3 linked regions of the Pelodiscus sinensis genome follow. The protein of the gene in region 3 interacts with the protein of the main gene of each other region in a pairwise test. Links are inferred from orthologs where the notes say so. Each region holds a gene or a part of one and is shown on either strand. Other genes may lie near its edges. The genes, in order: CDKN2C, SLC23A1 and AHCYL1.

Region 1 (9,917 bases), on a different chromosome or scaffold from region 3:
TTCTAGGCCAAATGTCCATTTAACTTTGCCTGAACCACTGACTACACTCTTTACTGTCCTGTTTTGTCAGAAACAGTGCTTAAAATTGTTAGTCATGATCTTCAGAAAAAATAACAGTAAAACATTTTAAAAACGTAAATATCAGAAACATAAAGCATTTTAGTATACAGCCTTTTCAGTATTAGTGATCTAAAACAAACGAAGGAAGTGTAAAACTATAATCTGCAAGAGATAAGCAAAAGCGATCAACGTATGTCCGTCTTGTGTCTCTTCTAGCGTTTTGGGGATGGCAGGTGCAGGAAATGCTATTGGTGTGATTTTTAAATATATTCACTGTCTACAAAATCTACACCTTTGCAGTTTCACTAGACTTGCACTAGTTACTTAAAAAAAAGAAAAATGTTTCAATAAATGTTATTCAAAACAAGGGCTAGAAGCTCGTAGGTCCAAGTAAGAAGTTGTCCGTGTTTGATTTAATTCATGTCTGCAGCTTCTGCACTTAAACTGCTGCTTTCCATTAGTTTAACTATATCGTTCTTCTTGTACAGCTTGGCCAAGTCGTAGGCAGTGTAACCCTCCTTGTTCTTATGGTCCACCTTGCTTACTTTGTGCTTAATAAGGAATTCCACTACTGGGAGGTGGCCTTCTTCAGCTGCCAAGTGCAACGGCAGGTTTCCCTCATTATCCTCAATGTTAACATCAGCGTTAAACTCCAGTAAAGTCTGCACCGTGTCCAGGAAACCCGCTCTGGCTGCATCATGAATTACAGCGAACCCAGTACTGTCTTTCAGATCAGGATTAGCACCTGCATTTAGCAACTTCCTGGCAATTTCAGGATTCCCAAGTTTCATTACCTAAAGAGGAAAAGATAAGAGTTTAATCCTGTAAATAATTTTAGAATTGCTCGTTTCACTCACTTTAGAATCTTAATTTTTATATTTGAGCTTTCTTCCAGAGGGAGACCTATTTTATCTATGCAGAGGAAGCCCGTTAGAAAATTAATGTGAGGGGAAGCGTAACTTTCTAATTTCTGCACTAACCACAGTAAATTTACGATTAGCTGTATTGTTCCAGTGAGAAATATCTTCTTGAACTACAGAAGATTAATGTCAAAATTAGCTAGTATGGAATATTGAGGTTATCTTGCTTTTTATAATACTGCCTTTTCATCTCAGTCTTTTCATTGCTAAAAACTATATATAGGTCGGCTTCACTTACCATGAATATCTAGAAAATTTCATTTACCTCTTTAAACCCGTTAAGTGTAAGATGGATGACTTTCTGAGGCTCTGATATTGTATACTTTCAATAACACGAAATGGGATAAACTCTTCAATGGAAGTGTTTAAATTGTCTGTTTCTTGTCAATAAGTGTCAGTATGATCGTATAATGTGCCGCACTTCTCTCTGCAGAAAATAATCCTTTCAGGTTTTCTGCAAGAGCTATGGTTCATTGTGTGCTGCCCAAAATGGAGAACTTAAGAGCAACGACTTAAAGTTCACCTAAATTATTGTAAAAAGAAAGATTTATCTCATAGCTTCATAATTTTAGTCTAATCTGTGAATGTGTGCTGTTAAAAATAACCCATGGTAGAAAAGAGCGATCAGTGTTCCTAATGATTCTTTTTGTTAAGTAAAACTTTATTTCTTTATCATTAACCTATTATAAGTGAGCACATGGGCATCTCTGATTAGGAGTTTGAGTGGCTTGGCCCGACCCCAAAATTCGCCAGAACTTCTGTCCCTTAGCCTTTAAAATAATGAAACAAGATAGTTCTTAATTTCCGACGTTGCAGGCTGTGTAAGACTTTGCATTCAACTGCTCTAGCAAGGAGACAATTTTATTAACAACCTCGATAAGGGAAAAATACTGCCTTTACTTCTTTAGAACATTTTTAACCAATATCTTGAAAATCTTGCTGTCTTTCACTAGCACCAGCTGATATCTTGAAAATCTTGCAAAGAGCTTTTTATTATTAGCATAAACAAGGATTACAGTTGCACTAAAGTAAACACAAATTACAAATTCTACGAGGCATTTGTTGAAAATGTGTTGTTACTGAAAACAAATGTGAATTAGGTTTTGTGGGGAAAGGCACATATACATCCCCTATATTATAATATGTGTAACAGTACTGAATCTACAAATCGGATTGGGGAAAGGTTATCTGGGATAAGTGATAACTGAATGTTTCCTACATATTACCTGCATTCCTTTCAACTAGAGAGTATAAAAGGTACAGCTATACTTCTGGAAAATAAGCGAAGGCATCGTCCTCCTTTCTTCCTTTTTTCAGATACCTTAAACGTATCTGCAATTCTTTTGGGGAGCCCATCCTCGATTCCTTGCTCACTCGAAAACTTCAGAGTGAGTTTTGAGTAAGCAAAGATGACAGGATATGGCACTGAAAGGCAGCACTTGAAGCCGAAAAAATGAAATAAATGTATATATTATATAAAGGTAATGCTAGGCCGATTTAGGCTAGAACTGTCTCTTCAAATATCAATTATTTTGTAATTTGGGGGCGGCAGGGGGTAATGGGGTAAGACATAAGATCTTTAGAACAAATCTGAAGGAGGTCAAACTGGAAACTCAATATCTAAGGCCTGCATGAGTACTCAAAGTCAAAAAGAAAATGAAGAGGATATATTTATAAAAGTAGCTGTTTACATTAGCATATTGGTATAATAAAATACAATTTCACTTTCATCCGGTTCAGTACCGAGTGAACAATATTAGAGAATGTTGACTGAAAATATTCTTGAGCTCTGTCACCTACCCACAGCATGTTTCAGGTTTATACATACTGAAAATAAGTAGCTAGCCAACTCTGTTTTGATTTGTGCTATGGTTAATCAAATCGGTTATGATTAAGCTGCAATTTAAGTGACTATCTTATGTTTAAGATAGCTGAAAATGTATGTCACTGTGTAGAATATTTCCCAATGTAAGTCCGTTATTTTGAAGCCTTACATTTACTTCAGTGCAACTGTATTTTTCAGCCTCATTTTAAAGATAAAATATTGGCTAAACATTTCCTGATTTCCTAACAGAAGTTAGTTTGTCTCCGTTTTTTATATAAGCTCTTTCATTCTCTAATAAGGTGTCTGCGCGTCTCACAAGTCCCACACCTATGTGACAATAGTAATAGCAATAATATTGCAAGGATAATCGCATAGTTCTTGAGCTTCAGTGAAACAGAAAAATAAGAATTATTATTGTGTTCATACAAGAATTTCCTCTTTTCCAGAGTTTAATTTTGATTTTAAGCCAAAAACGCAGTAAAAATCTGGATTTCAGTCTCAAATAATACAGTGTCTGAAAGGAACATTTCAGCAGTTCGCATTTTAAAACAAAAACACGTTTTTAAAACTGTGAACTTAACCCCCCCCCCAATTACTCTAATTTCACATTTCCCTACATTACACTGTACATTGTAAATTGCCACAGAATTTCAGCTCAGGGAACAACTGCTTGTTTCACGTTTTCGTCTGTATTGTAACATTTTCACCATCATTATGATGCTCTTAAATAAAGAAAACTTTACTCAATTTCAGTATTTCGCAGTTGGATGTGTTCCAACTACTGCCTGTACATCTAAATATTGACCATTAAGCCAAACAATCTTATAGCCTCAGAAATGAAATATTTTGAGTCCATCCACTAGGGTCCTGATTGACAATACTATCTTTATTGAGCCTTAATTATGAATGGCTCGGCAAGTGATTCAAACTGAAGTCTAACTCATTCGTCCAGTTGCTAATGTACATCTAAAGGTACGGAGTGCCCGTGCAGCATGTTTCCAAATGCAGAAAGGTCATTCGTCAAAAACATCGTATAAAGGAAAAGCACCATTCACTCCAGAATAAATAATCGCGAACATTAATGGTTTAAAAACACTCCGTATAAAAATACAACACAACACCTCGAGTAATAAGACCTATGTGTTTACAAATCGTCTCTGAAACAGGGCTCAGCTAGGATGTTTTCTTTTCATATCATCCACCTTTTCCTTGCCTTCCTTCCCCTTCCCTCAATATTAAAATTGGATTAAACTGGCAGCCTATTTGATATTGAGGATGATCCCCGTTTAAAAATAATGGTTTTGGCCAGTTTTATTACAAGTACGTCATTTTAGGGAGTTGGAGCCACTAAAGTTATAAAATATGGCAACCAACTAGGTTAAAAAATACAGAAATTCTGTACACCAGCCTAGTTAGAATCGGGCTTTCTGTAACGCGGGTCACGGAGGTAGCAGTGATGAAATATTTCTCTCTCTCTCTCTCTCTCTCTCTCTCTCTCTCTGGATACCAACCTGCAGCGCAGTCCTCCCAAATCCATTTTGGGCATTGACGTTTACAATCTTTTGCAACAAATTAGTAAGTTGCACTAGGTCCCCCTTTGCAGATGCGGACGTCAAATCGTTCACCAAAGGCTCGGCCATTCTTTAGGGTGACTGACGATCGAAAATAGGTGAGTTTGGGGGAGTTTTTAACCAGGCATGGCATCGGAGACTGACAGAAGTACTGGGATGGTTAATCTTCGGGAGTAGACCTTGTAGTAAATACTCGTAAAAAACTGTTTGCCAAGAGCCCGCCCCTAAATTCACACGTGATTATTCAGCAAAAGTGCAGTTCCACTCGAAAGAATATTTCTTTGCTTCTACATGCAGAGCAACTCATACCGAGGACTTTGGCCACGTTAAAGGGGAAATATATTAATATTATAGAATATATTATATATGTTATAGGTAACATATATACACATACCTAGGAGACTGACTCACGCTAAAGAAGAAAACAACCCACCCTTATTCAAGTCGAGATTTGAGAATTCAGCAGGAACAACTTCGCAGAGAAATCTCCTGGAGCCGTATGGTTGCTTGGGGTCACCCCCTTCACTGCAGCCAGCTGCGTTTATTTCAAGCCAAGTACGAGGGGGCGAAAAGCCCCGGGAAGAGACAGCAGGAGGCAGATCCGCCGCACAGTTCACGCACTAGCTGCCTTGGCTCAGGAGAAAGCGTCCGCGGTCTCCAGCTGCCGCCGCCCTAGGCGCAGACTCAGCGGCCCCCAGCAATGGTTGCCCGGTGCAATCGGAAGGGCACCGGGCCCGCAGACGGCGCCCTCCCTGCGGCCGTGAGAGGGCGGCTGCATGCCTGTGCCAGCGCCTCACGGGAAGGCGGAGAAGCCCAGCGGCGGCGCGTGCTCCATCCAGCCGGCCGGGGGACACGGCGGCGTCCCGGCTGCAAGCCACGGGGCGAGCCCTTCCCGCCTCCGCCGCGCCTCGGCCCCGGGGCTCCGCTGGCTCTGGCGATCGCGGCGTCCCTCGTTCGCTTTGCTGGGCTCGCGGGCGGCGCTGCTCCGGCCCGGGGCGAGCTGACACAGACCGGGAAGCGCAGGTCCGGCTGCGCCGCCTCCCCAGCCCTGCAAAGCCGCCGCCTCAGTGACAGCCGCGACCCGGCTCCGCCAAAGCCAGCTGCACTTGCCGGGCGGAGAGGGGGGGGGCTGGCGCCCCCGGACCCCAGCCCGCTTCTGCCTCTCGCCTCCTCCGGCTGCTTTTCACCTCATCAGCTTTTTTTGAAAAGGGGGAAAATTTGAGCGCTTTTTGAGTTGAAATACCCGCCCACATTTTAACGGCAGAGATTTAAGGAGGCCCGGCGGAGTTGCCCAGCGAGCAGGAAGGCCTGCGTCGGCGCGCACCCTCCGCCCCTTCGGCTTGGCACAGCGCGCAGGCCCCGGCGGCCCGCGGAGCGCCAGTTTGCACACTCGGCCCCTGGTGTCTCGCCCGGCGTCCACCAGCGCCCGGGAGCAGCACTCCCACCCCCTCCGCGCCCCGGCTGGCGCTGTGAGAGGCCGCTGGCGAGGCCTAGCGAGGAGCTGTCCCTTGACACCGCGGCAGGGCCAAGCCGTCGCCCGCGGGCTGGTGGGGATGACTCTGCGGGCGCGCTGGTGCCGCCCGCCTGCCGCAGAAATATCACCAGGCGACAGTCGTGCAACGCGCTCGAGCGGGGCTGGTAGGAACTAGTTCAGGACCGAGGTGCGTGTCCATGAGCAGCCTGCTAGTGGGCATCCTTAGCCGCCACCTGCCTCCGCAGGCCATAGCAAGGTAACAGGAGCCCGATCCTTTTTCTCAGGGAAGCAAACGTAAGACGCGCCACTGAAGTCAGCGCGAACAGCGTCGGGCCAGCCGAGGGCCACTGTCATCCCGCAAGGAGGCGTTTTCCAGGTCTCCTCACTAGGGCTTGCTCCCTAAAGACAAGGTCATGGCTAAAAGGGCCAATGTCAAGGTATTCTAACTGTGAACTGCGATAACCCAGGGCCGAAACCTTGGCTTGGCTTGTCTCTAGCATCCTGGAACACCTGAAAAGTGCCAGGTTAAGTGAAAAGTACCAGGGCTCTAATGCAAGAAATGAGGGATCCTCTTGTATATCAAAGCAGAAAGAAGTTGCGATGAGAGGGCGTGAGGACTTTATGTGCCGGAGGTGGCGAAAATCAGTCGAATTGCAGACGGTTTTGAATCCTGAATTGCTCTACATTTCCGTGAGCCTTAAAGCTTCAGTTCCACGAAAGTATCCTGCAGTTTCAGGACTCCCACTAAGCATAAAGTACACCTGATATGTTCCTTTGATAAATACTGTGTCGCTCTACTGTCCATGCACAAGCAAAATGTTCCTTTTCATGAAAACGTACATACATTGACTGGCTAACTCAGAGAGATGCCATTGAATGGATCTGTTTAAAAACAACACCAGATAATCAAAGACGCCGGTCCTGCCCTCCAGACTAGGCAAAACTCCCATTGACAACAGTGCAAGTTTTGTGTGCGGAGACAGTGCAAATTCAGGGCCTGATTTAAGATGCCTAATGCTAGACATATCATTTGTTTTTAAACGGACATGCCCATCTGAAAGTTACAAAGCAGAAGTACTGCTTAGACATCTCCGTCTCGTGGCAAAGTTCACTGCCACATTTTCCTATTTTGAATTTTTTTCTTTTCTCTATTGTTTTCTGAAAAACTGATACAAGCAACGGGAAACTGATGAACGGGCAGATACACAGTGAATAGCACAGGAAAGAATGAAACTATTGTCTACTTGTTATCACATGCACAGCAAATAAGATGAAAAAAGAGCACATGTTTTTAAAATTCTGTTATAATAAACCTAAGTGTTATAAATTATAAGAGTAACAATTTTCTAGGCAGAAGTGTGTTTTTTAACTCCCTTCAAAGTTAATTCTAGAAATAAATATTTTCAATAATACAGGCTTTCTGAAAACAGGCATTTAATATACAATGTTATTTAGACTACTTTGTTTCACTAAGTAGTTTGTAAATACATTCTGCGCTGACTTACTCCTAGTTCAAGACTGTTAACTTTAATTGAATCATACGTAGGTTAAGTCATTGCAGAATTCGACCCCAAAATGTTATATTCTCTCACTACTTTTTGTAAATGACTCTTAAGAAGAATAATCCTTCTTTCAGATACCAGAAGATAAAATGGTTTACTCTGAGACACGGAAGGCCTCCCTTTCTCCCGCCCCCCATCTTTATATTGACCAGGCAAAAAAAGTAGCATCATCCCACCTGCTGCCTTTTAGGTCCTTTAAAATGTTTGTGGAAAGGAGCGTGTTGTTTTTAATTAATTACTGCTAACAATGCTAAAGAGACATTTTATAAAACAATATACTACACAAACATAAAAACGCCCTCTGCCGATATACAGTAATCATCGAACACCGCATGGAGCACTGCAATCGCTTACCCACCTGATTTCCCTATCTTCCCAGGACCTTTTCTAATGTATCCAGTATGTGTAGGAAACCCCAGTTTGGGGCTTATTGAAGAGTTCTGAGTAGTAAGGGGAATAAACGAAGCTATATTATTGTAATCTGGGCTTCAAGTGACATAATTTAGGTTTCGCATTTTCATCTGTTCTTCTCATTTTGGCCCGATCCTGCTCTTTATTTCATGTAAGATGGATACTTTTCGCTTCAAATACTGCTCCCTAAGCACTAAGGTAACTAACTTTTGACTACAGCTGATGGCCGTGAGTAATATTGCAGCGCTATTTCCTAAACTACAGTTTTAAATTACTACAGAAAATAGTTGGCTTTAGTCCAATGTATAAAACTTGCCTTTCAGCCTTTATTATAATTATTCTGTGGTACTATGTGGGTAGATTGGTTTGCAGTTGAGTATATATTGTCTCTGGTATTGAACCACATAGTATCTATAGTACAGAGTTATCTGTAATGCCAAGCAGTGGAAAAGAGATAATGTGTCAGTAGTAGGTATGTCATCTATTAATTCTGTAAAGTTAAACTAGAATTATTAAACCAGCCACGTGTAATATATCTCTAAAACCTGCCACCAGCAATTGAAACAGGAGCAGGACGAAGTAAAATACCGTGTCTGAATGGTATATTTTTCTTTCCATCACAAGTAGGGCTTTGATATTGTCATAGTTCATCTTGAAATTCTGAAACTATTGTCTAGTCATATGAAACAAAACAAATGCATCATAAAGATCACCGTTCTTATTAGTACCTAGCAATGTGCCTTAATAATTCTATGTCCTGCTATCTTACTGCTTTCTTGTGGGCAAATGGTCTAACCTCCAGGCAGATTCAGTAAAACGTTTCCATATTCTTCTGCAGCTTGTAACTTGCGTGTGTAATGGGTATTTAACCTCTTTTTCTTTAATGGCTTCCACTGCGGCTTGTTCTTTTCCTGTTTTCCCCTCCCCTCTCCCTTTGAGTATCAATCCTACCATTATTTTTCTGATGATCAGCAGGAAGCATATATATTCTGATTAGGCTTGTATATATCGTCTTACAAACGGGAAAATAAGATATAGGGATCTTAAAATAGAAAAGAATATAGTAATGTAGATCTTGCCCATCGTGTAATTTTAGGAAGGCTGCGACTGAGTCTGTGATGGATGGCAGCGAAGTGACTAGAAATGATATAAGGCGTGAACAACCCCCCCCCCCATTGGATTAATTAGCCAGTTAAAGAGTCAAATTGTGCATATATAGCCAGAGGAGAGATGGAAAACATTTGGGGACATATATTTAAAAACAACAAACAACGCTGAAAACTAGGACTTGTATAAGTGTTATAAAACAAGTTTAGTGATATGTAATGTCCCTGAGACCTAAAGTATTGTTCTGGGAATCCTAAGAGTAAGGGCTATTATGCATATTAACAGCGGTTGGGTCACAAACCTAAGTCAAATTTGTTGTTTCCCATATGAGAGGAGTTACTAGGACTGATAAATGAATCTTGCATATCTATCCATTCCTTGTCTTTTTTTCTTATTAAAAGGAAGTCACTGTCCAGTTTATAGAAAATCATGTATCATCTAAGGAAATGATTATTTAAGGAACAATTAATCTGTCTTGGAGCTGCTTCATTGTATTTATGTATGTCAATTAAAGCACCTGTTTTATCTGTATCAATCTGTTTATATATAAATCAACTAGATATTGTAGTACAGAAAGGCAAAATTACCCCAGTGCTGCATTAATTATGACCACATCAGATAGCTAAAACACCTTTAGGGGGTGTTCTCTGTGAGAAAAGCATTTATTTGTGGGAGTGTATTTGGAGGAAGAAATGGTGCCTTGCTTAGGCCTCAATCAACAATAATGATTTAATGTTTCATCCTATGACTCATTGAGTAACATAGTAATTCTGGCACACATCCTAAATTTACAACATAAATACACCTAGCTCTTTGTCATGCTAGATGGTGACAAGTAATCCAGGTCAAATTGGTGACCAATGTTTCCTGTAATTTTTTTCATCCATGGGTGGAATAAATTTTATGTGCACCAAGGCATGTGCAGATGTGCACCACCACTAGAAACACATGCTGCAGGCTGTAGGCATTCTGCTAATCAGGTGGATG
Region 2 (10,775 bases), on a different chromosome or scaffold from region 3:
ACCCACACCCCATGCAGAGTGGGGTTACAGGCATCCCTGCACAGCAATCCCGCACCCTGGACACCCACCCACACCCCATGCAGAGTGGGGTTACAGGCATCCCTGTGCAGCAATCCCGCGCCCTGGGCACCCACCCGCACCCCATGCAGAGTGGGGTTACAGGCATCCCTGTGCAGCAATCCCGCACCCTGGACACCCACCCACACCCCATGCAGAGTGGGGTTACAGGCATCCCTGTGCAGCAATCCCTCGCCCTGGACACCCACCCGCACCCCATGCAGAGTGGGGTTACAGGCATCCCTGTGCAGCAATCCCGCACCCTGGGCACCCACCCGCACCCCATGCAGAGTGGGGTTACAGGCATCCCTGCACAGCAATCCCTCGCCCTGGGCACCCACCCGCACCCCATGCAGAGTGGGGTTACAGGCATCCCTGTGCAGCAATCCCGCACCCTGGGCACCCACCCACACCCCATGCAGAGTGGGGTTACAGGCATCCCTGTGCAGCAATCCCGCACCCTGGGCACCCACCCACACCCCATGCAGAGTGGGGTTACAGGCATCCCTGTGCAGCAATCCCGCGCCCTGGACACCCACCCACACCCCATGCAGAGTGGGGTTACAGGCATCCCTGCGCAGCAATCCCGCACCCTGGGCACCCACCCGCACCCCATGCAGAGTGGGGTTACAGGCATCCCTGTGCAGCAATCCCGCGCCCTGGGCACCCACCCGCACCCCATGCAGAGTGGGGTTACAGGCATCCCTGCGCAGCAATCCCGCACCCTGGGCACCCACCCGCACCCCATGCAGAGTGGGGTTACAGGCATCCCTGTGCAGCAATCCCTCGCCCTGGGCACCCACCCGCACCCCATGCAGAGTGGGGTTACAGGCATCCCTGCGCAGCAATCCCGCACCCTGGGCACCCACCCGCACCCCATGCAGAGTGGGGTTACAGGCATCCCTGTGCAGCAATCCCGCGCCCTGGGCACCCACCCGCACCCCATGCAGAGTGGGGTTACAGGCATCCCTGTGCAGCAATCCCGCGCCCTGGACACCCACCCACACCCCATGCAGAGTGGGGTTACAGGCATCCCTGTGCAGCAATCCCTCGCCCTGGGCACCCACCCGCACCCCGTGCAGAGTGGGGTTACAGGCATCCCTGTGCAGCAATCCCGCGCCCTGGGCACCCACCCGCACCCCATGCAGAGTGGGGTTACAGGCATCCCTGTGCAGCAATCCCTCGCCCTGGACACCCACCCACACCCCATGCAGAGTGGGGTTACAGGCATCCCTGTGCAGCAATCCCGCACCCTGGACACCCACCCACACCCCATGCAGAGTGGGGTTACAGGCATCCCTGTGCAGCAATCCCGCACCCTGGACACCCACCCGCACCCCATGCAGAGTGGGGTTACAGGCATCCCTGTGCAGCAATCCCGCACCCTGGACACCCACCCACACCCCATGCAGAGTGGGGTTACAGGCATCCCTGTGCAGCAATCCCGCGCCCTGGGCACCCACCCACACCCCGTGCAGAGTGGGGTTACAGGCATCCCTGCACAGCAATCCCGCGCCCTGGGCACCCTTCCCCTCCCCCCCTGTTTCCCCACTTTTTAGCAGATTAGAGAACGAGCTAATTTGCATACTTGAAAAGTCTGCCTGTCTAAGCTTTGTGCACGGAGCTGCACAGCCCCTAGCCAGCTGGGCGCGTGTTCTAGAGAGGGCCTGGGATGCTAGGGAGAGGGGTGGACCCTGGTGGGTGCCCGAGGGGGAGCCACTGGGGCCAGTGATGTGCCCAACTCTCTGACCCCCAGCGGCTGCTTCCCTGTTTAGATCCAGCAGGGGGTGCTGCATGAGGTGACAGAAAGGGGCCTTCTGGCTGCTTGTGACTGTCCCCTGGTGGCCACCAGCTGCAACTGCAGGATAGTTGGCCGCTTGGCCAGCAGCTGAGCCCTCCCCAGGACTCTGCTCCCTGCCTGTCCAGCCTTCCCCCCGCCCCCAACGCCTGGCTGCCGTCTCCAGCCTGCCCCTCCAGGGATGCCCGAGACCTGCGAGCCAGGCCGGGCGGTTGGGCAGGCGGCAGAAGGGGAGGGAAGGAGCCAGGCGGAAGCTGGGCAGAGGGCGGGAATGGGCATGGAGTGGAGCAGGCAGGGTGGGGGCGTCTGTCTGTCTGCTCCATGCACTTGGGGGGCGGGAGGGGTCCCGCTGCAGGGCAGCAGTCGAGCCCGGGAGTCGGGGACTGGCTGTCGGACGAGCCGAGTGGAACCCAGCTCTTCTGAGGGCCAGGGCTCCCCATCGCCGCTCCCACGGGGCTGGTGCGGGCAGAGGGCCCCGCTTACGCCAGCTGGCCTGGGGCATTTAGCACCTGTTTACCCCAGCAGGGGGTCTCGAGGGGCCGTGGCAGCGTGGCGGAGTGGGCCCTGCACGTGTAGTTTCAATATCTGGGCGAGGCCCCCTGAGAGCCCGGAGGTTCCTTTGTGGGTGCGCGGTCTCTCCCCTCCACGACACTCTAGGTGCTCGCAGCACGTTCGGGTGGGGGGTCGGGCGTCCCCGGCCAGGGCAGGCCGCTCTCCCGCCAGAAGGCTGCTGCCACCCCTCCGCCCCGGTGAGCCGGCTCTGTCTTGTGCCGCAGCTGCAGGAGCACCTGGCCAGAGCCGAAGCCAAGCGGCCGTCTGCCAAGGCGCCGGGCGCGCGCCTGAGCGAGTCTGAGTACCTGGAGGCGCTGGAGGGGAGCTGCTCGCAGAGCTGGGAGAAGTGAGTGGGCGCGCTGAGCCGGGAAGCCCTCGCACGCAGGGGCGGCCGGTGTCTCTGCCCAGGGCAGCCCGGCCTCGTCGCCTCCTCAGCCCCCGAAAGGCAGCGAGCGGCAGGCCAGGCCCCGCAAAGCTAACCCCCCCGAGCGCTTCCGGGGAGACGCCGGCTCTGAACGTCCGACGGGACTGAGACAGTGCCGGGCGCTGCTTATCCCCGCCCTCCGGCAGGCCAGGCCCAGCGCCTCCTCTCGCCTGCGGCTCTCAGCGCTCCAGTGAGGGTGGGGAGGGGCGGCACCCCGCCCTGGGCGTGGTCTGGGGGAGCACGCGGCAGCACCCTCACACGGACAGAGGTGTGTCTCCAGTGTGCCCTCCCCGTGCTGGCTGCCTGCCACTGTCCCACTGGCCCCTCCCGCCACCCCGCGACCCCGCCACGTTCTCTCCCGCCACTGCCCCATGGGGCCCTCCCACCGCCTCCTGACCCCGCCACGTTCCCTCCCGCCACTGCCCCATGGGGCCCTCCCACCGCCTCCTGACCCCGCCACGTTCCCTCCCGCCACTGCCCCGCGGTGCCCTCCCACCGCCTCCTGACCCCGCCACGTTCCCTCCCGCCACTGCCCCATGGGGCCCTCCCACCGCCTCCTGACCCCGCCACGTTCCCTCCCGCCACTGCCCCATGGGGCCCTCCCACCGCCTCCTGACCCCGCCACGTTCCCTCCCGCCACTGCCCCACTGGCCCCTCCCGCCGCCCCATGACCCCACCACGTTCCTTCCCGCCACTGCCCCACTGGCCCCTCCTGCCGTCCCGTGACTACCCACGAGGGCTCAGCTCTGGGCTTTGGGCCATGCTCATCAGGGCTCAGATTCGAGCCATGCTCAGCAGGGTTCACTGAGCTGCGGGTGAATCCCTGGGGGGCCTGACATGGAACAGGAGGGATGCAAACCGGGGAGAATGGTCTCTGCTCTCAGGCCAGTGACCACAGGAAGAGCCTGAGGGGCCCTCCCCTCGCCAGCCCCCGCCCCCGCCCCCGCAGCCTCACGCTCCCCTTCCCCAGGAAGCTTGGGGTTTATGCAGAGCAGCTGCTCCGTGACTATGGGGGCTCCCTCTTCTCTCCCCAGCTACGGCGTGAAGGAAGTGGGGGGAGTGCGACGCTTCGCCGGGCCAGGCCTGAAGAGCGAAGAGACCGTGAGTGTGATGATGACGGGCGGCCCGTGGCCCACGAGGTGAGCCCAGAGGCAGGCAGGAGTGAGGGGCTGGGGAGGAGCAGGCGGGGGCAGGGAGGTGGCTGCAGCCAGGCTGGAAACACCACGTGCAGTTCCCTGCTGGGGGTGGGGGGCGGCCCCCCTGGAAGCCAGCTGGCTGTTTTTCTGGGTGCTAACTGGACTGCCTGTGGCAAACGAGGCTCTGCTAATGGTGCCCGCCAGAGGAAATGGAAACGGGGCTTAGGCGGGTGCCCCGGGGCTCTCGCCCCCAGGCAGGGACCAGCCTGACCCCCACTTCCTGCTGAGCAGCAAAGGCGACAGGGCAGCCGCCGAGCGTGCTCCCAGGCCTGGCTCCCCATGGCACTTACACGTCGGGCCCTGCGGCCCATTTTCCCAGGTGGAACGGTGCCAGCGCCCTGCCAAGCAGCAGCAGGGTTGGGAGCCAGGCACGTTGGCGGGGAAATCCATAGCCCCGAGCCTGGATACTGCTGCAGTGTCTCGTGTTCGCTGACCCTCCCTGCGGTGCTCACACAGCACTCGGGCAATAGCATCTTTCAGCCCCAGTGCCCAGCGCCAGCTCGGGAGATTACGGCAGAGAGCAAACTTGCTCGCTGCTTGCAACAGCCCCGAGAAGAAACAAGACCAGAGCACGGCCCAACTCACAGTGAGACAAACGACTCGCCGGACTGTGAGGGACAGCGCCCTCTGGGGGCACCTGCTGGAACGATACCGTGGAGTCCTCTTTCCGTTTCTCGTTTTTGTAGGCTCTACAAGCTGTGCCAGAGCTACCTGGGCGACTTCGGGGAGGAGCAGATTTACGAGGAGTACCGACGCAGGCCGGACGCCTTGGCGGAGTTCCTGTGCTCCAGAGAGCAGAGAGCCTGTGCAAGACTTAGCGATGCCCAGGGCGGCAGCCTAAATGAAGCGAAGGCTGTGCAGAGTGAGCTGTAGCACAGCTCCTGCACAGCCCAGACTGGACAGTAGGTTTACGCTGACGGGGTGTACATCCGGGCAACCCCATAGTAATAAACCACCGTGTACATCCGGGCAACCCCGTAATAACAACCCACCGTGTACATCCGGGCAACCCCGTAATAACAAACCACCGTGTACATCCGGGCAACCCCGTAGTAACAACCCACCGTGTACATCCGGGCAACCCCGTAATAACAAACCACCGTGTACATCCGGGCAACCCCGTAATAACAAACCACCGTGTACATCCGGGCAACCCCGTAATAACAAACCACCGTGTACATCCGGGCAACCCTGTAATAACAACCCACCGTGTACATCCGGGCAACCCCGTAATAACAAACCACCGTGTACATCCGGGCAACCCCGTAATAACAAACCACCGTGTACATCCGGGCAACCCCGTAGTAACAACCCACCGTGTACATCCGGGCAACCCCGTAATAACAAACCACCGTGTACATCCGGGCAACCCCGTAGTAACAACCCACCGTGTACATCCGGGCAACCCCGTAATAACAAACCACCGTGTACATCCGGGCAACCCCGTAATAACAAACCACTGTGTACATCCGGGCAACCACATAGTAACAAACCAAAATACACAGTCAGGCAACCAAATAACAACAAACAAATGTAAACCCAGGCAACCTTTTCCGAACAAAACGACATGTACCATCCGGAGCTTAATACGGATAAAATGATATTCTTAGCCCAGGGATTATTTATGGGCAACCCTAAAATAAACCAGTGCCCATACATAATTACACCCCGTATATCAATCCAATGCCAGGAGTACCTGGTGGCATTTCCTCGCTGTAAATTACCACAGCTCCCACAGCGTCAGTCGGAGCTGGGCTGTAGCCAGTGGCACCCTGACAGTTTCCACCTGCTGCCCACTAGAGATAATATAATCTCACTATATTGAAATAGTTACACCCCATCTGAGGTTTAGAAGTCCCAGCTCCTTAGAGGTCGCTCTGATTTCCTTTCCCGTACTGAGTCGTGGGGATCATGTACGTTTGTTGTTGAATTCCTCAGGTTCCTGTCTGTACTTATTCTGAGTAATACATTTTACTGGCTATATGAGTATAAATCAATGGCCCGTGGTTTTCCACTGGTTCTCACGTATTTAAATAAGGAGGAGTCCTGTGGCACCTTAGGGTATGTCTACACTGCCAGCCTAGTTCGAACTAGGGTGACTAATGTAGGCATTTGAACTTGCAAATTAAACCCCAGATTTAAATATCCCGGGCTTCATTTGCATGTTCCCTGGCAGGCGCCATTTTTAACTCCCCCTAGTTCGAACTACCTGCCTGCGGCTACACGCGGCACGAACTAGGCAGTTCAAATGAAAGCTCCTAATTCGAACTACCGTTAAACCTCCTTGTAGCCGCGGGCAGGTAGTTCAAACTACGGGCATTTAAAAATGGCGCCCGCCCAGGAACATGCAAATGACGCCCGGGATATTTAAATCTGGGGTTTCATTTGCAAGTTCAAAACTGCCAGTGGGAGCAGAGTGGGCAGCACCCCAAACCCGCTGGGCCTCCATGAGGGGGGCATAGAACTGGGCAAGACGTAGCAACGTTTACAGGACGAGAGGGCCCAACCCCCAGCCGGAGCACTGTTCTTCCCAGGCTCTTCGGGAATGACTGGAACAGCTCTGGTAGGGCTGTGCCCCCAGCTGGACTTTTCCCCGTGTAGAGGATGCGGCCACCAGAAACTAGAGATGTCTCAGGTGAACGCAGGATTGTGCTTTGGGCCCGGCCTGCGCATGGTCTTTGTGTCACTATAACGCCAAGCTCCCAGTCTGGGTGCAGTTACCCTGCTGCTTATCGTTACAACGGTACAAAAGCTGGTGCAGCCCAGCCACCCTGGGTCCCTGCAAGGCCTTTGCCCGGGCCGGTTCCCAACCATTCAAGCGCTGCAGTGCTTCCCATGGGGAGTCTCTCGTTCCCGACGGGATTCCACGCCGAGCAGCTCCCCCCACCTTTTCCTGGACCACATATTTGCCATCCCTTGGGATGCCCCAATAGAGAGACGTCCTCTTTGTGCGGGCGATTAACGGTGACTAATTCTGCTGTCTGCCGTTTGAGCTGTCCACCACCCCACCCCCATGGGACTGAGAAGCCGACTGATGATGGAACCAGCTGAGAAGGAGCGGGTGGCCTGTGATAAAGCCAGGACGTTGGCGGCAGAAAGGGGCTGCAGGGAAAGCAGTCTGCAGTCACCCCGGGGAGAAGCCAGAAGATGTAGGGAGGAGACCAGGGCAACAGCAACAGGGGCTGGGAGAAAGACCATGATTACTACCCATGGGGCCCGTGGATGGAAATGGAGGGCGTGGGCTGGGTTAGAAGTGGTGTAGGCCACTGTTCAACAGGACTCTGCTATCCCGGGGGGGGACCAGAGTGACGTGGCTGGAGGGACAAGCCACGAGGAGGGAGCCTCCTGACACATGGAGGGGGGAGAGGTGACAGGGAGCGTGAGTGAGGCGCAGACCCAGTGGGTGCTAGACCCAGAAGGAGCAGGTCCCCGGAGCCGCCAGGTGAGTGGACCCAGGACACTTTGTCCTTTCCCATAGTCTTGGCCCCTGTCCTCACCTGGGCCCGGAGAACATTCGCCCCCCCCCTTCATCGGCAAACATTCCTCAGAGCTGATGTGTCAGTTAATACGTAATGTCATAGCAACCTTTGTCACTAACGGGCTACCAGCGAGATCCGTGTGAATCGGGGGTAGGCAAGCGAGCAGAGACTCCCAACAGCAGCACAAGCGCTGGGCCGCTCACACCTTCCCCTCAGCCTCCTGCCCTGCAGCCCAATGAGCCTGGGTCTTCGCAGCATGGCCCCCGGCAGCACTAGCTCCCCCCGTGCTCCCCATCACCGTGCTGCTCTCCCGGCCTGACCGCTCGTGGCAAAGGGGAGCGTGGGCTGCGTGGCCCGTTCAGCCCTTGGCCACTATAGGGCTGGTGGATGGTCAGCTACTGGGACCAGGCTCAACGCCACCAAAGAGCAGGGGACTGGTGCTCTGCCTTGCAGCCGCCAAGAGCCAGGAACAGATTAGAACCAGCATCATCAGGCCATGTTAAGGGTCAGTCTGGGAGAGGGGTGGGGCCAGAGCGCCCCAGGAGATAGGCTGTGCCAACTGGGCAGCGAAGTGGGGGACCTGGTGCTAATGTTTCCCCCCCTCCCCCATCCACAAGTTTTGTCAGGATCGTTATTTCAAAGCGATGGCAAGAAGAGACGTGGACGGGAAGAAGCGGCTGCCGTGTCCTGCGCCATATGCCAGGTCCACACTAGAAACGTTTGCCAAGCTTGTGATGGGGGGGGGGCGTTAGTCTTACGACATTTCTGCCTAGTCCAAGCCAAGACTGGGATCTGCACGTAGCTTCCGAGCTGACTTGTCTACAGTTTGGGGCTGTTGTCTGGCCAGTCGCGTATCTGTTTGTAAAACAGTCGTGATGTCTGCGGCCCTGAAATGCCCAGGACGGGCCTGTCTATATAATGCCAAACCCCGGGGCAAGCCTAGCCCAAAGGGATGGACATTGGGAACCTCGCATTCTTTAGCGTTGCCTCTGCACAGCTTCAGGGGAAGCCGACTGTAGGTGGATACCTCTTAAGCTGGCAGGGGTTGTGAACAGTCTGTTTATGAACCAGCCAGTTATTCTGTAACTCAGCTCTCGCCTGTCTTCACAAAAGGAGCTGTGAAAAACCAACAAGCCTTCGGACAGCTGCGCATCCTCCCCTCACCCCCCGCGAGGCCGAGCACAATTCATGGAGTTAATAGATTATCTTTAAAAACACAGCTCTGGTTTCTTTCCCAACCCGCAGCCAAGCGCCCTGGTTACAGATTGACTCCAGGAACAATGTCGGGTGAACCGACTAAAGTCCTCCCCACGGCCATAAAACAGCGTCACTCTCCAAAGGGCCGGGGGAAAGCTCGGTGCCGCTCTGCAGGTGATGGGGACCAGTTTGGAAGATTTGTCTCAGCCCCAGGTGACTGTGATGTTTGCTGTTCCTGTATTTCACCCCTCCCGTCCCGACTCCCCAGATGCATCCATTTCCCTGCTTACGGTGTTTAACCGGCTGAGAAACCAGCTGTGTGGGTTGTGACGGGGGCAGAGGGCAGCGATCGCAGGATCTTTCTCAGCCGGGCGTGGGAAGTTAGAGGCTGCTATCCCCTGACTGGCTTGGGAAGCCAGATGGCACCAAGCGCGTCCCTTTGGACAGACTGAGCAAACAGGAGGCCTCCCGGGATGCCCGCGGGTTTAGGAGCGAGGGGGAAGAGACTCGGCCCACGGGGAGGGGTGAAGCTGCTGCGCCACCCCAGAATGGAGCACTTGGCTCCTCAAACGGCAACTCACTAGTCAGAGGAGATGAGGTTCAAGCGAGCCCCTTTTGCCCTGCCTGGTCGGGGCCTGCCTCGCCCTGGGCAGCTGCCCCCTTCGACGCGCCCCAGGAACCCTGGCAGCTTCCCCCCCTCCCCCTTCACCCCGCTTCTGGGTTCAGCCAAAGCCGTGGGACTCCAGGTCGGAAGGTTCTAAGATGCAGGCCAAGACTGGAGATCAGGCGCCAGGGGACAAGAGCCACAGATGGAGAAAGGGGATCCAAGAAAGTCAGGGCTCTTGGGGGGTTTTCTCAGGTAAATGTACAAGGAACTGGGCTTTATTTTTAAGGGCTGCTGCAATACAGGGACTGATGCTGGTTGGTGCTGAGCACATACAGCTGCCACTGCAGATACCGGGTGTGCAGTGCACTGAGCACACACGCACACCCTGCAGCAGGCTCAGCCCCTTGCAGGATTGGGCCCTACAGGATTGGGCCCTATTGTGGCAGATTTAGTATAACTGCTTTACAATGTGGCATAGCAGTTCTTCAAGCTCCAACTTCTTGTGTGTGTGTGTGTGTGTGTGCGCGCGTGTGTGTGTGTATACACGTGTGTGCATGGGGAGGGGTGTTAAACACTAGTGTATTCCATAGCAATGAGCCAAACCCCATCAGTGTTACTAGTGAGGGGAGAGTGAGCTGAGCACCAGGAACTCCTGCTAATCCCAGTGCTGACACCAACGGACTGGGAAACCTTGAGCAAGTCACTTATTCTCTCTGCCTTGGATCTCCCATCTGTAAAATGGGGGTAATAAGTCACTACTATCTCCTAAGGGTGCTCTGCTGGTTAATTAGTGTTCTGTAAAGGGCTTTAAATATGCTATATAAACAGTGACAGTGTTGTTAATTCCATTCATTTATTTTAAGGAGGGATATTATATAGCTGTGTACCTGCCATTTGGTTTCTCTGTACTGAACCTCTGCATTTCTAAGGCCTGGTGTACACACCGACTGGCATAGATAGCTGTTATTGTTAGGGAGCGAGATTTTTCACTGATACAGCCATACGGCTACACCCGAGAGGAGATGCTATTGTACCAGTATAAAGGTACCTCATTCCAGTATCACTCATTCCCCTTCCTGTACAGGGCTTGCTATACTGGTGTAAGCACATTTATACTGGTTTAGCTGCGTCCACACTGAGCGATTGTACCACTTTAACTACACCGCTCGACTACCGTGTTACACCCCTATAGTTACAGCGGCTCAGCTTCGAGGCCAGCAACCGGGGTGTGAGCCGCGCTGCTGCCGGGTGTTGCAGAGGAGACGCACACACCACACTATTACTGAGCGGCTCCGTTTGTCCCGGCTCACGCTGCTGCTCCCTGCAATGTCCGTCGATGGCATTCAGCCCGGCGTGCAAACACAGACCGGCTCTGCGCATGGGGAGTCTCTCTGGGGTTCCCAAAACGGAGGAGCTGCTTTCGGAGGACCACCACCCGCAGGGTGGGCGGAGACGGCGGGCCCTT
Region 3 (10,420 bases):
TTGCAGCGTTGTTTCCTTGCAGCTTCAAATTGAGGTTGTTCAAAGATTCAAAAATGTCCACGAGGTATGCCAGTGAAAGTTGAAATGTTTGGTCCATAAATGTATGATATAACTCTTCTTTCTTCTGTTGCCTTCCACTTCGTCTTTCAGTTAGAATAATCTCGAAAACATGTTACCCTTGGAAAGCCATCGTACCTCCATGTGAAACAAAAGAGTTTTATGATCCGCTCCCAAATCCGTGCAAAGGACATAAAAAAGTATTGTATTTAAAGAGCTGTTCTTCACAAAATTGACAAATTTGATGGCCAAATTCAATGAGTCACATACGTCATCTGGAAGGGTTCTAGTAACCAACGCTTGTCTGTTTATGACACAGTGAGTTGAGGTTACGGCTGAATTTTTTTCTTTCACCAGCGTTACAAATCCAGAGTGAGAGCCAAGCATTGCTGGAGCACTGTCTGGGCATACATCAACCAGTTTTCCCCATGAAAGTCTATTTTCTTCAAAAAAGTCGGAAATCGTTTTCATAATATCAGAAGCCTTTGATGTGGTCATCAATTCCTTCGAAAAAAGCGGTTCTTCTTTCACAGTTCCATTATTAATGAATTGAACGTAGACAAGCAACTGACAACATTGTGCTACATCAGTGGTATCGTTGCACTGAATTGCAAAAGAAGAAGCCAACACTGCCTCCACAACTTGAAGTTTAAAGAACTTTCGCCAGCTCATCGATGAGACGTTTCAAGGAATTGTTAGAAAGTGAAATTTCCAATAGTTTTTTCTTGCTTTTGACACCAAGCACAATATCAGCAGCTTTCAACAAGCAAGGCTTCACAAGCGTTTCTCCGATTACGTGCGCTTTCTTGGCTTTAGCGATGAGCAATGACAGTTCATAAGAAGCTTCTACTTCTTTGGCCGATGGTTGATGAAAAGCTCCAATAGTGTCCAGCTTTGCATTTCAAATTTTGAAGTTTAGCAGCAAAAAACTCTTTTGGTTTGTCTGTCAAAGTGCTGTGGTTCTTCGCCAAGTGTTGCTCAAGACAACTAGGTCTCAAGGCGTCATTGCTAAGAACTGTGTGGCATTCTACACATGGAGAATGATGGATCTTTTTTTCCCCCATGACAGTGAAGACATATTTCATGTAGACTTCATCATACTTCCTTTTCTTAATCGCAGCCATAATATATTAATTTAAAACAAACTATAAAAATAATGTTCCCAATTAGAATAAATTTAATGGACACAAGTTACTTTGATAAGTTATTGCAAACATTTATTTACTACTACTATTACGTACGGACGCGTACTATCTTATATATACCCCACCACCAGTAACCAAGCAAGAGGGATAGCTCAGTGGTTTGAGCATTGGCCTGCTAAACCCAGGGCTGTGAGTTCAATCCTTGTGGAGGCCATTTGGGGCAAAAGTTTGTCAGGGATGGTACATGATCCTGCTGTGAAGGCAAGGGACTGGACTCAATGACCTTTCAAGGCCTCTTCCAGCTCTAGGAGATAGGCATCTCCATTAATTTACTCCCACGATAGAACAGTCCCGCAAGCATGCTAGAAAGTTTGAAAAAGTTTCATTTCCTTCTACATTGTCCTTTGGCCTCCCCACCAACCAAACTGGTTCCCCTATACTTCGAAAGGGTGTATATATAGAGAGAGAGAGAGGGCTTGACAAATAATGCAATCTGCTTGCCTGCAATGAGTAGATTTTACCAGCTGGCGAGTGCAGGGGTGGACTGGCCTGGTGGGCTGTTGTGATGGGCTGGCCGAAGCCTGCACTGGCCGGTGGAGGAGCACAGCGCTGCTGGGAAGGGGGAAGTGCAGCGATTCTTGCCACCGGGCTGCCTGCGTGTAGCTCCAGCGCGAGGGGGCGGGGCGGGACGCCAGGACGCTGGTGTGACGTGGCCCCGCTGATTTTAAAGAGCCACGGTAGCTTGGCTCTGGCCGCGTGTCCCTGGGAGCTGGCTGCGGCGCACGGCACACAGCGCAGCCAGGGCCCGCCCTGCCAGCCCCAGTCCTGCTATGGCCCCATTCCCCCTTTGTCTCCGTGCCACCCGTTCCCCACGCCACCACTACTCCCCGGGCCCCCTGCTCTCCCTCTTCCCTGCAACCCCTTGGCTCTGCGCCGCCCTTGCACCCCACACCCTGCTCCCCCTGATCCCTGCCCCCCCAGCTCTGTGCTGCCCATTCCCTGCACTGCCCCAGACCCCGATCCCTCTGCCCCTCCCGTTCCCCGCGCCACCCCCGTACTCCCCCACTGTTCCCTGCACTCCTCTGGCTCTGTGCTGCCCCTGCACCCTGCTCCCCCTGTGGGTCGGAGTGAAGGGTGCTTGCCCATAGGGAGGGGCTGGACAGGGCAGGGAAAAGGCTGCTGTGACCCAGCAGAGAGTGGAAGGGGGAGTTCACTTGAAGCGCCTTTGCCTTTATGGAAAAAACCGAATGAAAATGCTATTTGCTATTTCTAGGGCTAAAATGCGGGACAAAAACAAAAACAAACAAAGAAAACCCCATCGCAAAATGCAAACATGTATAAAAGACAACAACAAAGGGGGGGCGGCCAAAAATGTTTTGCTTGGGGTAGCAAAAAACCTAGAGCTGGCCCTGGGGCAGGGGAAGGGGCTGGGCTGGGCTGGGCTGTGGGGAGGGGAAAAATATGGGGAAGGGGCTTGTGCTGAGAGGAAGGGAGGGGAAGGGGGAGGTCAGGAGAAGAAGAAGAAGAAAGGGGAAGGCACCAAGGGATGGGGGTGCAGGAGAGACAAACGCCAGGGGGCCAAGTGCAGACAACGAGGGAAAGGGCAGGAGGGGAGGTGTCAGTGGGAGGGGGGACAGGGTGATGCTGGGAGAGGAGAGGGGAAGGGCATTGGGGGCTAGAGGGGGGAGGGGGAGGTGCTGGGAGAAGGCTTAAAAGAAGGGGTGGGCATGAGGAAGGCGGGGATGGAGCAAGGCATCTGTGAGGGCATAGGGGCATGAGGGGAATGGGGCAGAGGGTGGTGAGGGGGTGGGTATCAGGGAAAAAGAGGGCAAAGGGGGCAGGGGCAGTGAGGGAGGGTGCAGGGGCCAAGAGATTCTGGGGGTGGAGCAGGAGGGCAGACACCTGCAGGGGAGGGACCAGCACCAGAGGAGAGAGGCAGGGCAGGTGTGTAGAGGGAGGTGTTAGGAGAGGGGATGAGGAGGGGTAGCTCACATGAACAGAGTGGGGCTACTGGAGGAGTGGGCACAGGGGGAGAGAAGGGCTGGTGGAGGGGGGCAGGTCACAGGAGGGCTGAGGGCAGTGAGAAGGGCAGGAGTCAGGACAGCAGAGGAGGGTGAGGGGTTGGGGGCAGCAGGCACCGGGGGAGCTGATGGAGCAAGGGGAGGAGACATGGCAGCCGAGAGAAAAGGTAGAAGGTAGGGCATGGTACTCAGGGGGGTTGGGTGGGGGGCATGGTACTTGTGGGGGTTTGGGGAGGGGGGGCAGGTTACTCGTGGGGGTTTGGATGGGGGACAGGGTACTTGTAGGGGTCTGGGTGAGGAGAGAGGACAGCTAAGCTGGTACCTGGGGGTCCTGCAACCAGGTCCGGGGTCTCAGGAAGCACGTGTGCTACTTATTCCCTGGGCTGCTTCCTGAGTTTGAATTGGTAGCTGTTTGCAAGTCTGCCCCCGTTTGAGCCTTTTAAATCAATGATCATTCAAAAAGCCAAGCTCCGTGGCCCCTATTGTCCAGGGGAAATTAGCACCTTTTCCAAGTGGCTCTGGGGCGAGTCTGTAGCCCCGGGAGGAGGGAGGGAGGGAGACTTCGGGAAGCTGCGGCGCAAAACAAACAGTTAAAGATGAACTTTGGGTGAGGTAATGCCAGCACGGGGTCTTTCTTGGGGAGGTTCGGGGGGGCTGGGTCACCTTGCACCCCCCTGGAATTTCTTCACGCCCCCCAGTTTGGAAACCTATGATCTAAATGATCCTTCAATTATTTGAATGGCCAGTCTTTCATTAATCTTAATCACCAGCCTCCCTCTTTTTACAAGCTCCTTGCCCAAAAGCAAAGCTGCAAGCGGCTCAAACTCTGTTGTGTTTAAGAACTGTGTCTGGAACCAGGGGCTGCAGCTTTAAGCAGGCCTCAAGAATGAAAACCAGGGATTCAAACATTAGGGCTACATCTACACTGCAGGCTTCTTGTGCAAGAACATCTGTTCTTGCGCAAAAACTTGCGGAGCATCTACACTGCATGCGCATTTTTGTGCAAGTAAATTTACAGTAGAACATCGGGCTTCTTGCGCAGGAGTTATTCCTCTCCCCACGAGGAATAAGCCCTCTTGTGCAAGAGCTCTTGTGCAAGAAGGCAGTGTGGACGAGCAACAGGGGTTTCTTGCACAAGATTCCCCTATGGCTAAAATGGCCATCAGAGCTTTCTTGCGCAAGAGAGCGTCCACACTGCCATGGGCGCTCTTGTGCAAAAGCACATGGCAGTGTGGATGCACTCTTGTGCAAGACCTCTTGTGCAAAAGAGTTCTTGTACAAGACGCCTGCACTGTGGATGTAGCCGGGGGGGAAGGGGGCTACTGCTTCCCTAACTTCCCTAAATGGTGCCCTTGGTTGTGGTCTTCTATCCTAGCTGTCTCCTTGCAGCTCTAATGCCCTCAGGCCTTGCCTTGCCTAAGGCCCTGCAATCTGGGAGTGAGGTCAGGCCCGAGCTCCCCAGCTCTGCCTGCCTTTCCCCAGCCTGCTCTGTCACAGGAAGCCTCCAGCTTCCCTGGCAGCCAGGCCCCTCCTGCTCCCCTGCTGCTGACTCAAGAGTGAGTCTTTCCTCCCTTGGGGAGCCCTTATTTATACAGCCCATGCTGGACCCTAATTGGCTGCTCTCTGCCACATCTGCTTGCTCCACAGCCTCTCCCAGGGCTGGATTTAACTCTTTTTGGCCCACCACAACTTACCATGGCAAGCTAGTTCCTGTCTGGTTATCTAATCTTTCTTAATGATTCAATGTTCTCTTAGGCTATGTCTACATTGGCAAGATTTTGCGCAAATACTTTTAACGCAAGAGTTTTTGCGTTGAAGTATTTGCGAAAGAGAGCGTCTACACTGGCATGTGCTTTTGCGCAAGAGATGTGCTTTTGCACAGAAGCATCTGTGCCAGCGTAGACACTCTTTTGCGCAAGAAAGCTCCGGTAGCCATTTTAGCCATCGGGCTTTCTTGTGCAAGAAATTCATGTTGCTTGTCTACACTGACCCTCTTGCGCAAGAGGGCTTATTCCTGAGCGGGAGCGCCAGAGTTCTTGTGCAAGAAGCCCTGATTTCACACATTAGAACGTCAGTGTTCTTGTGCAAGAACTTGCGGCCAGTGTAGACAGGTGGCAAGTTTTTGTGCAAAAGCAACCACTTTTGCACAAAATCTTGCCAATGTAGACACAGCCTTCGCTATGCCCACGGCCACTGCACAGTGTGTGGGGTGTTTCCAGGGAACCATGCACAATGACTCCAAGACCCCCTTCCTGGGCGGGACCAGGTCATTCAGATCCCACCATTTCATACCTACATTTAAGGAGATGTTTTCCAAGGTGCATTATTTTGCATTTATCAGCGCTCAATTTCACCTGCCATTTTGTTTGGTGAGACCCCTCTTCATGGTTGGTCAGCCCCCCAACCCACATAGCCCCCCAACGCTCAGAGGAAGTGGTGCCCACTGGGACAGGAAATCCAGTGCTAGGCTCAGCCCCACGTGCTCCCCCGCCCCCGTTAGGTCTGGCCGCTGCAACGCCACGTGGAGGCGGTGGGACGCTCCCACTCTCCTCCGCTAGGGGGCGCCGCCGCGAGCTCTACCCTCTGTGCGTGCGGCCTCCCCTCCCGGCCCGTGCGTGCCGCGTGACGTCAGGCCCCGCCCCATCCGTTCGGCGTGTGACGTGTGGCGTGCGCCGCTGCAAGCCCCACCCCCTGCCGGAGCGCGCGGCGTCCGCAGTCCCGTTGCCGCAGAGCGCTCGGAGCCGGAGCCTCCTGCCTGAGCCCCGCGCCCCCCCCCCCCCCCCCCCCCCCCCCCCGCGCCACCATGTCGCTGCCCGACCCGGCCGGCGGGGACGAGCTGAAGCAGGCCAAGGAGAGCGAGGCCGCCGAGAAGTTCTCGTTCCTGGCCACGGTCACCAAGGCGCCCAAGAAGGTACCGGGGCGGGGGGGCGAAGGGGGATGCGGGGGGGCGGGGGCGAAGGGGGTTTGGGGAAGTGTGGGGGGGCGGGGGCGAAGGGGGTTTGGGGAAGTGTGGGGGGGCGGTGGGGAAGGGGGTTTGGGGAAGTGTGGGGGGGCGGTGGGGAAGGGGGTTTGGGGAAGTGTGGGGGGGCGGTGGGGAAGGGGGTTTGGGGAAGTGTGGGGGGGCGGGGGGGAAGGGGGCCGCGGGGGCCGAAGGGGGTTTGGGGAAGTGTGGGGGGGCGGTGGGGAAGGGGGTTTGGGGAAGTGTGGGGGGGCGGGGGGGAAGGGGGCCGCGGGGGCCGAAGGGGGTTTGGGGAAGTGTGGGGGGGGCGGTGGGGAAGGGGGTTTGGGGAAGTGTGGGGGGGGCGGTGGGGAAGGGGGTTTGGGGAAGTGTGGGGGGGGCGGTGGGGAAGGGGGTTTGGGGAAGTGTGGGGGGGGCGGTGGGGAAGGGGGTTTGGGGAAGTGTGGGGGGGCGGTGGGGAAGGGGGTTTGGGGAAGTGTGGGGGGGCGGTGGGGAAGGGGGCCGCAGGGGCCGAAGGGGACTCGGGGAGGTGGGGGCGAAGGGGAAGGAGGCTCAGGATCTGTGTGGGAGGGTGGCGAGTGGGGGGAGGCTGGTTCCAGGTAGGGCTATCCAGTTCGGGGGTGGGGTACAGAGGGTAGTGGTGATGGGCTTCTGCTCTTGAGATCCTGTTGGCAGCATATCCAAGCCGGCTGCCAAGTAGGGGTGGGTGAGGGTAAAGGCCTGTGAACTGGCAGCATGTACCTGGCAGTGGGGATTACAGGTCATAGGGGAGCTGGCCACCTGCTGTGACTCCCATGGGTTGCACTGGAAGGGGAGCAGGGGGAGCGGCTGCCCATAGGATGTGGGTGGGGAAGCTGTTTGCAGGATGGAGTGTCCTGGAGTTGTAGGGAGGACAATTCACAAAGCTTTGTAGGGTGGGTGTGAGGGGGAATTGTGATGGCCCTGTACAGGTGTCTGTCATGAGTCAGGTGGGTAGGTTTGATTTGAACTGGGCAAGTTATCTTCTATGATCTCAGGGTCAGCAGGAAGGCAACCTGGGAGTGGGTTGGAGGATGGCTTTGAGGCTGGGAGGAAGGTACCAGTAGCTTATGAACTGGGTCATGACAGCAAGGTGTAGGGAAGCCCAGGAGATGTGATTAAATATCCCCTGAATATTTCAAGAATACAGCAAGCCAGGCATTTTCGGGAGCAGTATGTTTGTGGGTGCAGTGGACAAGTGTGGGCAACCAGTGTGAGGAGGGATTTGAGGGCAGCTTTGAGAGAAGGGCCCATCTGATGGCAAGTTTGAAGGGGATGCAGCTCTAAAGCTTCCTGGAGTGCTCTCTGTGCTCAGCATTCCCCTCTTGTCTCTTCACCTAGAACATGACTGAAATTCTCCCATCAGCTGCTCAGTGCTAGCAAAGGTGAGAGTCCTCAGACTTGGTTACTGAGGCTTTTACCTCTCCATCATCTCAATTTTGTCTGAGTTGGATTATACAAGAAGATGGTAAAAACTCTTTGCTGTAGCCACCACTGGTAGAGTTGCACTTATGGTGAATTTCAGGTCTTAACTTTGCATGTGTCAAGAGAGTGGGGACTCTGGGATCTAGACTGGCTGTGGGAGATCCCGGCTGTATTGAATATCATGTTTTCCCCTAGGGTTATGCCACATGCCTCAGTGTTAGGACTTGAACAGAGTAAATGGGAAAAACACTAGCGTGCTCAGCCACTGGAAATGCAAAGCCTTCCTGTGAGAAAGTTTTGATTGTTTGCATAGGTGCTGGAATTTTAGAGGGCGGAGGTACTACAGGCCTTTTAAATCATTTGCATTTGAGACATCCCCTTCTGCCTAATCTTGAATAACTAGCATTCAGCTGCCAGTGACAAGCCCTCCATGGATCTTTCTGTGCATGGTATCTATGCAGACAGTGGATATAGCCTGGAGCAAGGAGCAGAAGAATGCAGAGGCTAAGAGCTGCTTTTCCCCAGAGGTGATTCTGCAGCTGTAACCATGCTTCTGAGAGAAGTAAAGCAAACACTTCTTTTGAGTGTTATCTCCTTGCAATCTTGCACAATAGAGATGGAAGTATAGCCTGAGGCTTGTGCCCACATAAGCTGTAGTGTGGCAGTGATATGACAGATGAATACGCTGTAACACATAAGCATCCCATGGTGGGGGTGGGGTGTGGGGGTGGCAGTTACAGCAGGGGTGGTGAGCAGTGTGGGACAGCCCTCCCTTTAATGTGAGGATGCATAGGGTTTAGCTCAATCTTGTTCTTGTGAGAGGAGCTCTAAAAGGACTCATTCTAAGACAGGGGAGGGATCACATGGTGATTCCCTGTTCTATTCCCTCCCTCTGGGGCACCTGGCACTGGCCACTGCCGGCAGACAGGACGCTGGGCGAGATGGATCTTTGGTCAGACCGTTCTTATGCTCGTAACTGGACAAATTGGAGAAATGGTCTGAGGTAAACAGGGTGAAGTTTAATTAAGACAAATGCAAAGTGCTCCACTTAGGAAGGAACAATCAGTTTCACATATACAGAATGGGAAGCGACTGTCTAGGAAGGAGTACGGCAGAAAGGGATCTAGGGGTTATAGTGGACCACAAGCTAAATAGGAGTCGACAGTGTGATGCTGTTGGGAAAAAAAGCAAACATGATTCTAGGATGCATTAACAGGTGTGCTGTGAGCAAGACGCGAGAAGACATTCTTCCGCTCTACTCTGCGCTGGTTAGGCCTCAGTTGGAGTATTGTGTCCAGTTCTGGGAACTGCATTTCAAGAAAGATGTGGAGAAATTGGAGAGGGTCCAGAGAAGAGCAACAAGAATGATTAAAGGTCTAGAGAATATGACCTATGAAGGAAGGCTGAAAGAATTGGGTTTGTTTAGTTTAGAAAAGAAAAGATTGAGGGGGGACATGAGAGCAGTTTTCAGGTATCTAAAAGGGTGTCACAAGGAGGAGGGAGAAAACTTCCTCATCTTGGCCTCTGAGGATAGAACAAGAAGCAATGGGCTTAAACTGCAGCAAGGGAGGTTTAGGTTGGACATTAGGAAAAAGTTCCTAACTGTCAGGGTGGTCAAACACTGGAATAAATTGCCAGGGAGGTTGTGGAATCTCCATCTGTGGAGATATTTAAGAGTAGGTTAGATAAATGTCTATCAGGGATGGTCTAGTCAGTACTTGATCCTATCATGAGGGCAGAGGGCTGGACTCGATGACCTCTCGAGGTCCCTTCCAGTCCTAGTATTCTATGATTCTATGTGTGTGGGCCGTAATGATAGCCCCTTGAATCCGCTGCAGTTTCATAGCTTGATGTGCAGCTGTCTGGTTACAGTGCTGCCAGGGGCCTGCTGGGAGCACTTCAGGACATGCAGCGAATGTCCTCTGAGACTGATGACATCAGTAGCCAGTGAAATCTTGGGTGCAGGTGCATTGCCATCAATAGGAATCAGTGCTCCAGGCCACTACCCAACCAGAGATTGAGACTAGCACTGATAGCAGAGGCGTTGGCAAAAACGCCAAAGTATACAATGCTAAGTGCCTCCAGCTTATCTCACTTTCCACAAAATCATAACCATTAACAAGCCTCTTTCCTTCTCGAGGCTTGTATTGATTTCCGTGAGTGCAAAGTTGGTGTGATTTCTGTGTGCCTTTTTACAGCTCTGAAACGCCCTCCTTTCACACAGGCATCCCAACCTTTCCTCAGCACCTCAGGCAGAATCTGAGAGAGTCCCTGTATTTGCCAGGAGACTGAGAGGCCAACAGCAGTTTGCTTTGAACAAAAGCTTCTCTGAAGGCCGGTGGGCATGAAGATCAGACCTAGGGAGAGGATGGGAACATCTCCAGGATTTGAGTGCTGGTTCTGGCTAGTCCTTTGTGCTGACCATTCTAGACTAGCTTTTCAAAGGGCAGTCGTGTTTATGCTTGCCAAGAAGCGCATGTTCAGTTTCCCAGGGTAAGTGCCTAATTTGAGAAGCAGGAGGGAAAGTTAGGAAGAAGTGACCCTGATCAAAGGTGGGCTCCTGCAGAAGTAGATGTGCTCCTCATGTTTGATGAGCCCTCTGTGGCAGCCTGAAAGAGCCAGATGGGGAAATCCTTGTTGGTTACATACCCTAACCTTGAGGATCTCCTGTTTCTTCACTTGTCATTGAATTGGTAAAGATTAAAAAGTGAAGCAGCAGGAGGTGAGTGATTAAGAGATTATATGTGATCAACTCTGGCTTTAAATCCAAGGCCAAAGAAGGCGAGGTGAATTGG

The links.
Region 1: the proteins of AHCYL1 (region 3) and CDKN2C interact in binary tests that used the Homo sapiens proteins (3 or more experiments, as listed by UniProt). The two-hybrid records come from large-scale screens. The link is inferred for Pelodiscus sinensis from reciprocal best matches to the Homo sapiens genes AHCYL1 and CDKN2C.
Region 2: the proteins of AHCYL1 (region 3) and SLC23A1 interact in binary tests that used the Homo sapiens proteins (3 or more experiments, as listed by UniProt). The two-hybrid records come from large-scale screens. The link is inferred for Pelodiscus sinensis from reciprocal best matches to the Homo sapiens genes AHCYL1 and SLC23A1.

What each region holds. Positions count from the first base shown.
Region 1 is NC_134719.1:8,340,045-8,349,961, reverse strand, and holds the start of CDKN2C (cyclin-dependent kinase 4 inhibitor C), read right to left. Parts: upstream 4,747-9,917; 5' UTR 4,446-4,746; coding exon 4,317-4,445; intron 855-4,316; coding exon 474-854; 3' UTR 1-473. UniProt on the Homo sapiens protein: Interacts strongly with CDK6, weakly with CDK4. Inhibits cell growth and proliferation with a correlated dependence on endogenous retinoblastoma protein RB.
Region 2 is NC_134727.1:3,245,064-3,255,838, forward strand, and holds the start of SLC23A1 (solute carrier family 23 member 1), read left to right. Parts: upstream 1-6,501; 5' UTR 6,502-8,880; coding exon 8,881-8,916; intron 8,917-10,775. Other genes in the region: MZB1 (marginal zone B- and B1-cell-specific protein), read left to right, coding at 2,632-2,753, 3,866-3,970, 4,714-4,900.
Region 3 is NW_027465886.1:177,601-188,020, reverse strand, and holds the start of AHCYL1 (S-adenosylhomocysteine hydrolase-like protein 1), read left to right. Parts: upstream 1-5,912; 5' UTR 5,913-6,026; coding exon 6,027-6,134; intron 6,135-10,420. UniProt on the Homo sapiens protein: Multifaceted cellular regulator which coordinates several essential cellular functions including regulation of epithelial HCO3(-) and fluid secretion, mRNA processing and DNA replication.